3 linked regions of the Callithrix jacchus genome follow. The protein of the gene in region 2 interacts with the protein of the main gene of each other region in a biochemical or structural test. Links are inferred from orthologs where the notes say so. Each region holds a gene or a part of one and is shown on either strand. Other genes may lie near its edges.

What was found.
Region 1: the proteins of TOR1A (region 2) and TOR1AIP1 form a complex in vitro, tested with the Homo sapiens proteins (2 studies listed by BioGRID and IntAct). The link is inferred for Callithrix jacchus from reciprocal best matches to the Homo sapiens genes TOR1A and TOR1AIP1.
Region 3: the proteins of TOR1A (region 2) and torsin-1A-interacting protein 2 form a complex in vitro, tested with the Homo sapiens proteins (4 studies listed by BioGRID and IntAct, with this or other methods). The link is inferred for Callithrix jacchus from reciprocal best matches to the Homo sapiens genes TOR1A and TOR1AIP2.

What each region holds. Positions count from the first base shown.
Region 1 is NC_133519.1:23,476,376-23,480,027, forward strand, and holds part of TOR1AIP1 (torsin-1A-interacting protein 1), read right to left. Parts: intron 1,580-3,652; coding exon 1,538-1,579; intron 585-1,537; coding exon 498-584; intron 1-497. UniProt on the Homo sapiens protein: Required for nuclear membrane integrity. Induces TOR1A and TOR1B ATPase activity and is required for their location on the nuclear membrane. Binds to A- and B-type lamins. Possible role in membrane attachment and assembly of the nuclear lamina.
Region 2 is NC_133502.1:178,412,591-178,416,242, forward strand, and holds part of TOR1A (torsin-1A), read right to left. Parts: intron 1,586-3,652; coding exon 1,410-1,585; intron 1,313-1,409; coding exon 1,185-1,312; intron 1-1,184. UniProt on the Homo sapiens protein: Protein with chaperone functions important for the control of protein folding, processing, stability and localization as well as for the reduction of misfolded protein aggregates.
Region 3 is NC_133519.1:23,493,172-23,496,923, reverse strand, and holds the start of torsin-1A-interacting protein 2, read right to left. Parts: upstream 2,717-3,752; 5' UTR 2,606-2,716; intron 2,287-2,605; 5' UTR 2,152-2,286; intron 1-2,151. UniProt on the Homo sapiens protein: Required for endoplasmic reticulum integrity. Regulates the distribution of TOR1A between the endoplasmic reticulum and the nuclear envelope as well as induces TOR1A, TOR1B and TOR3A ATPase activity.

The sequences.
Region 1 (3,652 bases), on a different chromosome or scaffold from region 2:
TTACCTTAAGCCTCAAACTGATATTTTTCTCTCTCTAGTCTTTAGTCAACTCTTTAATTGAATAAACTTAAATTAACATGAATAATCAGAACCTGTTAATTACTAACTTAGTTTGAATTTGAAAAATCCAGAGATAAAAACAGTTATTTAATTAAATAAAAACTTCCCAAAGTCACATTCCAGACAGTGTTGTCAGTCCCAATGGCAATGTGATTAGTTTCTCTATAAAATTCAAAAACAACAAATCACTCTTCTTGTGAGCACAAAAAATATCTTATTTTCCACAAATATCAAAAAAGCCAAAAGTGATCTGTTTAGAAAGCATGACATTATTAATCAGATGTATACATGAAATCAGTAGTTTTAAGAAATATTAAAAGTTCATGACTTTTTATAAAGTATTAATAAAAATTAGAAAGTTTTTTTAAAAAGCAAATTCATGGAATGCCAAAGATAGCTTCTACAAGAAAAGTCATATATGTATAAAGCAATGTTACCTCCAGATTTATCAGAATCCCTGGATCTGGTCTTAACAACAGTGACACTGCTATGAGAGCTGTCTTGATCATCTTCTTCAGTTTCTCCTAAAGAGAAGTAAACAATATACTAATAAAGTCTTATTTTAATGCTCAAAATATCTGAATTCAAAAAAACCAAACAAACAATTTAACATTAAAAGAAGGCTTTTAGGTTATCGGATACAGAACTGCTGTTTTTTATGCTTATTATTTTGAATCCCAAAGTTCCAAATGAACTAAAATTTAGCTCATTTAGTGTTCTCTGGGGCACATAACACTTTCCTAAATAAATATTCAGAGTAATATCTAAAACACTATATTCTAAGGTTTTAATGTAGAGTCAAAAATGAACAGATGAGCATTAAACAGTAGAAAAATTTTAATTTATGGGGAGAAAAACTACACATAATTAGTGTGTAGTTAAATTCAGATGTGTTTGTGCGTGTGTTTGTGGTAGAGGGGTATTTAAAATGAACCCAAATAGACAAAAGATGCTTAAAATGTAAGGCTGTTATCACTCATTCTATCTGTCCTATTTTATCTGCCCTGTTAACAGTTCAGATAAGCAATAATTTTTTTTCATGAAGAAAAATATATTATTTTCTGTTATCACTTTTTTTTTTAAGAGATGGCATCTCACTATGTTGCCCAGGCTGGAGTGCAGTGGCTACGCACAGGTGCAATCTTACTAATGATTATCACGGGAGTTTTGACCTGCTCCATTTCTGACCTGAGCGGATTCATCCCTCCTTAGCCAACATTGTGGTCCTCCGCTCCCTGGAAGTCACCATACTGATGCCAAACTTAGTGCAGACACCTGATCAGCATAGCACTCTATAGCCCAGAACTACTCCTGGACTCAAGTGATCCTCCTGCTTCAGCCTCCTTAGTAGCTGGGACTACAGGCACGTGCCACAGAGCCCAGCATTGCTCTCACTTCTTCAGTATCTGTCAAGATGGCTTCTAATATAAAAAAAAGACTTCAAATATATATTGTATGACATTTACAAATAAAATACCTTCTTCGGAGAAAATGACCTTCTGTTGGACACTGGTGGCTTCTAGAAGAAAAAAGCATACATCAAATATTAAATATATAACATCAAAAGCTAAAGCTCAGGAATAAACATAAGAGCATCTAGTTTAGGAAAATGGACATAATGACACATTAAAAAAATTCTTTTTCTGTTAAATCACTAAGAATCTATCATTTTCTTCTAGGCTGCTTTAGAAATAAGTCTGATATACACTAGAATAAGAAATGAAGTGTTTGGCCAGGCATGGTGGCTCATGCCTATAATCCCAGCACTTTGGGAGGCTTGAGGCAGGTGGATCACTTGAGGTCAGGAGTTCGAGACCAGCCTGGCCAACATGGTGAAACCCTGTCTCTACTAAAAATACAAAAATCAGCCAGGTGTGGTGGCGCATGCCTATAATCCCAGCTACTCGGGAGGCTGAGGCAGGAGAATGGTTTGAACTTGGGAAGCAGAGGTTGCAGTTGAGATCGCACCACTGCACTCCAGCCTGTGCAAAAGAGCAAGACTCCATCTCAACAACAAAAAAGACATGAAGTGTTTAATTTTCCTTCACTCACAGGTATATTTTTACTCTAAAATGTAACCTTTACATATGAAGAAAACATTAAATTCTACATTGACAAATATTCTAGTGTGTATAAGTTTACTATGTTCTCATTCTCTGACTTGCCAAATCCCCTATACTCTCTTCAAAAACAGACTACAGGCCGGGCGCCATGACTCACGCCTGTAATCCCAGCACTTTGGGAGGCCGGGACAGGTGGATCACAAGGTCAAGAGGTCAAGACCAGCCAGCCTGGCCAAGATGGTGAAATCCTGTCTCTACTAAAAATACAAAAAAATTAGCCGGGTGTGGTGGCAGGCACCAGCTCCTCAGTTGAGGCAGAGAATTGCTTGAACCAGGGAGGTGGAGGTTGCAGTGAGCTGAGATTGTGCCACTGCACTCCAGCCTGGGTGACAAAGCGAGACTCTGTCTCAAAAAAAAAATAAAAATAAAAAATAAAAATAACTGACTTCACTAACTGGACTGATGAACCAGTTCTTTAGGGCAGTGGTGTACCCAATGAGGAAGAAAGGTAAAGAAACTTCTAGTTCTGGCGGGTCCATGTTCATCACTGTTTTCCAGAGCAACAGAACTTGAAAAAAAATAAACAAGCAAAACATATCAAATAAACACAGTATTTTTACATGGGCTATTCCGAAACATTAAAAAAAAAAAAAAAAAAGCAAGATGTACCCAAATGCAGGTATTGCATACTTGGGTTAAAATATTACTGAAGGATCATACATGGAGAAGTAACATGATTTAGAATTCTTCAACAAAGCTGAAAAAATTTGTTTCTTTTCAGCTTTCATCTTTACTGATCTTAACCTCAATTTGTGTACTAAAAAGGACAATATTACAGAAACACATTATATGGTGAATTTGAAAATATTTCTTTCAAATCCATTTAATAAGATTAGTAGAATACTCGTCAACATTTGAGATCCACTGAAAATACTCCCTCTTGATAGTGGCAAGTGTAACTCAGTATCTGAAATATATATGCTAACTTTTTTTTTTGAGATGGAGTCTCGTTCTGTCGACAGGCTGGAGTGGAGCGATCTTGACTCACTGCAATCTCTGCCTCCAGGGTTCAAATGATTCCTCTGCCTCAGCCTTCTGAGTAGCTGAGACTACAGGCACTCACCACCATGCCCAGCTAATTTTTTGTATTTTAGTGGAGTCAGGGTTTCACCATATTGGCCAGGATAGTCTTGATCTCCTGACCTTATGATTCGCCCTGCCTTGGCCTCCCAAAGTTCTGGGATTACAGGCGTGAACCACTAGACTGGCCACCAACATTTTTTTATTAAAAAAACAAAACAAAAACTAACACAGAGAAAACTGTTCATGACACTATGTGACTCTTAAAGAGCTAGACTCTGGTCCTGGTGCGGTAGCTCACGCCTGTAATCCCAACACTTTGGGAGGCTGAGGCGGGCGGATCACAAGGTCAAAAGATTGAGACCATCTTGGCCAACATAGTAAAATCGTGTCTCTACTAAAAATACAAAAATTAGTCAGGCATGGCAGCACACACCTATAGTCCCAGC
Region 2 (3,652 bases):
ACCACTGGCTCTTTCTTCTACGAAGAAAATCACGTAGCTGAAGAAAATGGGGGAACTGACTGGGCGTGGTGGCTCACACCTATAATCCCAGCACTTTGAGAGGCCGAGATGGGCGGATTGGGCAGATAACCTGAGGTCCGGAATTCAAGACCAGCCTGGCTAACACGGTAAAACCACGTTTCTACTAAAAATACAAAAATTAGCCAGGTCTGGTGGCAGGCGCCTGTAATACCAGCTACTTAGGAGTCTGAGGTGGAAGAATCACTTGAACCTGGGAGGTGGAAGTTGCAGTGAGCTGAGACAGCACCACTGCACTCCAGCCTGGGCAACAAGAGCTAAACTCCATCTCAAAAAGAAAAAAAGGGAGGGGGGAACTAATCTTCAAGATCTCAACGACCAACAATTTTCCTCATTACTTAAAATAGCAGGCCAGGTGTGGTAGCCCATGCCTGTAATTCCAGCACTTTGGGAGGCTGAGGCAGGAGGATCACTTGAGTCCAGGAAGTCAAGACCAGCCTGGGCAACATAGGAAGACCCCATCTCTACAAAAAGAGACGGCGGCACAAGTCTGTGGTTCCACTTACGTGGGTGGCTGAGCCTAGGATGTCAAGACTCCAGTGAGCTGAGATCACACCATTGCACTCCAGCCTGAGTGACAGAACAAGATCCTGTCTCAAAAAATAAACTGGGCGCAGTGGCTCAAGCCTGTAATCCCAGCACTTTGGGAGGCCCAGGCAGGCAGATCACCTGAGGTCAAGAGTTCAAGACCAGCATGGCCAACATGACAAAATCCATTTCTACTAAAAATATAAATATTAGCCGGGCATGGTGGTGTGCACCTGCAATCCCAGCTAAAAGGGAGACTGAGGCACAAGAATTGCTCGAACACGGAAGCTGGAGGTTTCAGTGAGCCGAGATCTTGCCACTGCACTCCAGTCTGGGCAATAGTGAAACTGTCTCCAAAAAAATAAAAATAAAATAGCACTTTTCAAACATCAGTGTTCATTAAAGTTACCTGGAGTTTGTCAACAAAGATTCCCCTCGTGAGTTCTGACTCGGAAGGGGACTGAGAATCTACATTTCTACCCAGCTCCCAGGTGATGGTGATGGTGACCCTAACGCTTTCACAATTAGGGTGCAGGATTAGGAACCAGATGGGACTGGTGGTGGACAGCCCTACTCACTGTTTTTGTTATTGAAAACCGACACAGATAAGGCGTGTTCAATGTCTTTGAGCTTGATGTCTTCCCTCTGCTTTCCACTCCTCCAGAAATCTAAAGCCACATCTGTGATCCTTTCTGCTCCAGCATTGCTGCAAAACAGTTCCAGTGGGTAAGGACGGGGTTTTCTCCCAGAGCTCAGAGGCTCAGGCTCGAGGCCCGTCCCTCATGTCCTAGCCCGGACCTTACCTGAGAAATATAAAGATGGCTTTCTGGTAGGAGACCCCATCCACCAGGTCGTAGTAGTCAAGGAAAGGCTTGATGGCATCTATGAGACCTGCATGCATCTTATCCATTTCATCGAATATGAAGATGGACCTCGCACAGGCGCTCACGTTGCCTCGAATCCACAACTGTAACTGGTCCTGAAGTAGAAGGGGAAAAGCCAACACAAAGTTCTCAGCCAGGGCCATCGGGCACCTCCTTCTGCCACTGAGAGCCACAGCTTCACTTACAGACCACTGTGCCCTCAGCACCAAGAACTTCACACGTGCAAAATCTTCTCTGTTCCTAACATCCCCGTGGAGTGGGCACTCTCATACACATTTCACAGATGAGGGAACTGAGGCACAGAGAGAGCTTACTCCACTTGCCCGACTATAAAATGAGTATATGGCAGAGCTGGGACCTGAACCCAGTCCTGCCTGACGCCAAAGCCCAACACTTTGATTCCTGCACTGCAAGACACCACATGGATGCTGAGAGCTGCTGCTCTTTTGTCACCAAAGAGGTCATGTGGGATGTCAGGAGGATACTGATCTTTATTTTAAAAGGGGGCGGGGCTGGGCGTGGTGGCTCACACCTGTAATCCCAGCACTTTGGAAGGCTGAGGCAGGCAGATCAGTTGAGGTCAGGGGTTCGAGACCAGCCTGGCCAACATGGTAAAACCCCGTCTATTAAAAATACAAAAATTAGCTGGGCATGGTGGCAGACACCTGTAATCCCGGGTACTCCGGAGACTGTGGCTTGAGAATCGCTTGAACTCAGGAGGCAGAGGTTGTAGTGAGCTGAGATCGCCGCACTGCCACTCTAGTCTGGGTGACAGAGCAAGACTCCATCTCAAAAAATAAAAATAAAAAATAAATAAAATAAATAAGGATTCACCCAGACCTGTTAAGCTCCAGCAGCCAAGGTTTTCCTACTCTGGTGACCCAATTTATACGTGGTAATAGGAAACGTACTGAGCACTCACTATGGGCATGACAATATTCTAAGGACTGTTCATATATATATATATATATATATATTTTTTTTTTTTAAAGACAGGGTTTCACCATGTTGGTCAGGCTGGTCTTGAACTCTCGACCTCAGGTGATTTGCCCGCCTTGGCCTCCAAAGTGCTTGGATTACAGGTGTGAGCCACCACGCCTGGCCCATATATATATTTTTTGAGACAGAGTCTCACTCTGTTGCCCAGGCTGGAGTGCAGTGGTGTGGTCCTGGCTCACTGCAACCTCTGCCTCCCAGGTTCAAGTGATTCTCTTCCCTCAGCCTTCTGAGTAGCTGCGATTACAGGTAGCTGCCACCACACCCAAATAATTTTTATATTTTTGTAGAGACCGGGGGGGTGGCGGGTGGGTGTTCGCCATGTTGGCCAGGCTGGTCTTGAAATCTCGACCTCAAATGATCCCCCAGCCTTGGCCTCCCAAATTGCTGGAATTACATGCGTGAGCCACCATACCTGGCCTGTTCACAAAACATATTACTGTGACCTCCTAAAACCCATCATAGTAGTTATTGTTGTGTTCCTTTTACAAATCAGGAAACTGAGGCACAAACGAGTGAAGTAACTTGCCCAAAGACACAGTTATTCTTAGTGAAACCTCAGTTCTACCATGACCAACTCATCCTGATTTATCTAGAATGGTTCCTGTTTGTTTGGGACAGGGTCTCCCTCTGTCGCCCAGACCAGAGTGCAGTGGCTCTGTGCTCACTGCAGCCTCAACCTGCCAGTTTCAAGCCATCTTCCTGCCTCAGCTCCCCAAGTAAGTGGGACTACAGGTGCGTGCCACCAAGCCTGAATAGATTTTTTGTATTTTTTTAGTAGAGATGGGGTTTTACCATGTTGCCCAAGCTGGTCTAGAACTCCTGAGCTCAAGTTTCAGCTTCCCATAGTGCTAGAATTATAGGGGTGAGCCACCACATCCATAGAACGTTCCTGTTTTAGTACAGAACCACTAGACAGTGGGTGACCCACCTGCTTACCCAGACAGAGCCACTAGATAGTGGGTGACCCACCTGCTTACCCAGACAGAAGGGAAAAATGTATCTGGGCAGTGGCTCATGCCTGTAATCCCAGCACTTTCAGAGGCTGAGACAGGCGGATCACCTGAGGTTAGGAATGTGAGACCAGCCTGACCAATATGGAGAAACCTCATCTCTACTAAAAATACAAAATTAGCCGGGTGTGGTGGTGCATCCCAGCTACTCAG
Region 3 (3,752 bases), on a different chromosome or scaffold from region 2:
GTTGTTTTTTTTTTCTCTCTCTCCCCTTCTCTGCCCTTGGTTTTCTTTGTTTTTTCTTTTGTTTTTGAGAAGGTCTCCCTCTGTTGCACAGACTGGAGTGCAATGGTGCTATCTTAGCTCACTGCAACCTCCACCTCCCAGGTTCAAATGATTCTTGTGCCTCAAGCCTGCCGAGAAGCTGGGAGTACAGGCCCCCACCACCACACCCAACTAACTTTTTTGTATTTTTAGTAGAGATGGAGTTTCACCATGTTGGCCAGGCTGATCTCAAATTCTGACCTCAAGTGATCCACCAACCTCAGCCTCCCAAAGTGCTGGGATTACAGGAATGAGCCATACATAACACCTGGCTTATTTGAACTATTAAAGGCAAAACCAGGCAGCTTCATTTGTGTAATTAAAACAAAACCCCAGAAGAAACCAATGTTTTAAAATTTGACTTTTTGCAAAAATGTCATTACATTTATTTACATGATATATACTCATGGTCAAGGGCTGAAGGAAAAATCTCTAAAAACCAAAACAATATGATTTGTTGAGGTAGTAGAATTACAGATAAATTTTCTTCCCAGAAATTTCAATTACCAAAATTATGTGCACAGATCATACCTGAGCCATGGCACACACACAAAAAAATCATGTGCCAACTCCTTTAAATATTAGTAAAGAGGAAAACAGCCCACACAGTGACAAAACAGGAATTCAAATCCAGCTATGACTCTAAAGTCTATGCTCATTATTGATGTTAGGGATGCCCTTTCTTATTCCCAAATGCTTGATTTCTGTGCAAAATTTATGATAATGTATGATCACCTACTAAATTCCTTCTTGTGGGACACAGTTTAATCCAGTGGTTCATATGATGCAGAAATATTAATGAAACTTTAACACAATTAAAATTCTAAATGGTAAATAAAAACAGCCAATTCTTCATTCTTTCCATTTTTTTTTGGAGGTTGTAGAACCTCCAGGTTAATGTGCCTTCATAGTTGGCTTAGTGAACAACCTCAAAGTGAGAAAGTAGACAAGGCTTCTTGAAGCAAACTTTCCTTCAGGAAATTCAAGTAGCACTTCAAAGAAGTGTGGATTTTCCTGGAATACAGTTTTGACTTCTGAGTTCATGGAAATGAATGGAATACAGAAATGACTTCTTAGGCAAAAATAAGTTATATACAAGATACAACGCATTATTAAAATACCCAATAATCCTCAAATAATTGGCTAAATTCTGAAGTTAAATTCTTTGTTAATTATTGAAGTTCTCAAGCTAACATTACCTCTACATTAGAAAGAAACTAGATAAAATAGTGCTTAAATGAGTCACCCAAGGTTACGTAATAAACCTGCAGAAAAACAGGTAATCAAGTTGTGGACTGCACGTTCAGCATAATAAACATTACTGAAGAGAGGCACTCAGTTCTCACAGCAAATGTTGGTTTTTCAAACTGTTCTAATCCACACAAAGGCTTCCAAGAACATCTATAGTTACTCTACTTCGAGTTCTTTTTTTTTTTTTTATTAAATGTTTCCACTGGCCCCTTTATACTCATCTTGTGCTGAAAAAATAAAACTCAAAAAACATGGATAGCTGCCACAGCTTAAAACAAAGAAAGGATCTTTCAAACAGATCCAAAATAAAATGTTTTAAAAACTAAAGACAGGTAAAACAAAACCAATATGTTTAATCTGTGTAACTTCATTTCTGGATCTGTGTAACAGTATCAAGTCTGATAATCACGCATTACTCATGAAGTAGAGAGTACTAAGAACTTTGTTAAAAGAAGGAAAAGGTGCAAACTTTTTTATCCGGTATGAAATACAACTGAGAGTATGGTACATACATAATATATAAGCAAAATGGTAGGAGGTCTTAATAAAACTACAAGTTTGTCCTTTTTAGCACCATGTTTTTTTTAATTACTATCTTTTCAGGATTAAGTTGATGAATGCTGAGATCCTAGGCCTGCCGGGCATGGAGTAATCGCCGCCTACACTAGTAGGAAAATTTCCCACTTACATTTCGAACCCTACAATAATTCTGCTTCTCACCTTAAAGTTTAAAGCTAAAAATTTACTCACATCTTAACCCGTTTAATATTTATAAGATTCTGTTTCTTTTTATCCCGAAACGAAAATATAACCCCAACCTACCTCGTTTACTGTTCAAGTGAGGCCAGGTGTGGTGGCTCAAGCCTGTAATCTCACCACTTTGGGAGGCCGAGGCGGGAGAATCACTTGAAGCCAGGCATTCGAGACCAGCCTGGGCAATATAGTGAGATCTTGTCTCTACAAAAATAAAAAATAAAGTAATTAGCGGGGCATGGTGTTGCGGGCCTGTAGTCCCAGCTATTCGGGAGGCTGAGGCGGGAGGATCGCTTGAGCCCAGGAGAACGGGGCTGCAGTGAGCTATGATCGCGACACCGTATTCTAGCCTGGGTGACAGGGCAAGTACCGGTCTCAAAAACAATAAAAATAAAAATATCGTTTGGGCAGTAGGGAGGTGGGGGTGGGGAGGGACCGTTTCTGAAAGCTCTTTTGAAAAATTCAGTATATCAGTTCCAATACTAAAACATAGAAAAGTTGTACAGTCATTTTGTTTACTTACAAATTCTGGCGGGGTTTTAAATCGTAGAACTGTTAGTATCAGGGGAGCCGTTCGAGTGCTCTTTCCACTCCACACCGCCCGGCTGCACCCAGCGGCCGCCGCGGCCCGAATGTCGTCCAGCGTCCCCGCCCATATGACCGACACTTTCCGCGGGAAGGAGCCCGTGGAATTCTGGGAGTAGTAGTCTCTGTGCCCTGCCTTCTGCCGCCTTCTCCTCCATCCTTCGCCCTCTACTGCCAGGTCGTCTTACCCAGCGATAGGCACGGTAAATGTGTGCAACCAACCTTCAAAGATCCCCGAGTTCTCAAGCTATCTGACAGGATTGCAGGAAACTCTGCAAGACGTCTGACCACCCTGACCCATATGACCTAACTCAGGACCAACACAGTGAGAACCAGTACCGAATAGAGGAGAATGTCCTCAAAAAGAGTTGCCTAATCTAATCTGTTTGCTCGTGTGTCAAATGGGGACGTTGTTTACTTCATAAGATTGTTATGAGTAAATTAGATGATGTATGCAGCGTGTCTACTAAATGACAGCAGTAACAAAAAATAGCTATTGCTATGATCTATTAATTTTATAAATGTGAAAATAAAGAGATGGTGAGCAACTTACCCAAGAACATACAATTGGTTGGGAGCAAAATCGAGTAAGTCTAAAACTCCTATTCCTGACCCACGCCAATTCAAGACAACACAGAAGAAATCTACTCATGTAAAACTCCTTTCCCCTTTCCTCATTTTTTTTCTGTAACAGTCCTGACCAACACACTATTTTACTTATTTTGATTTTTGCTTGACTCCTCCCATAGAATATAATCTCTAAGAAGACAGAAAACGTTTTTTTTCTTTCAGTCTATTTTGCACACAGCTGTATCCCCAGCACAGAGAACAGGGACTGCCTACTACATAGTACCTCAAGTATTTATTGAATTAATAATTCCTCATGTAATATGACTTTTGATGCCTTCATTTTCCAATCATCCTCTTTTGGCAGAAGTGACAGGATTTGGTAACACTCTTGGATGCTGTTTAATAATTAACTGCAATTTCTAATTCAACAAAGTAGAATACTATATTCCATTCACTTCATTGTGTTTAATTTCAGTGTCACATTTCCAGGTAGATATTTTCATTTGTATTATTAA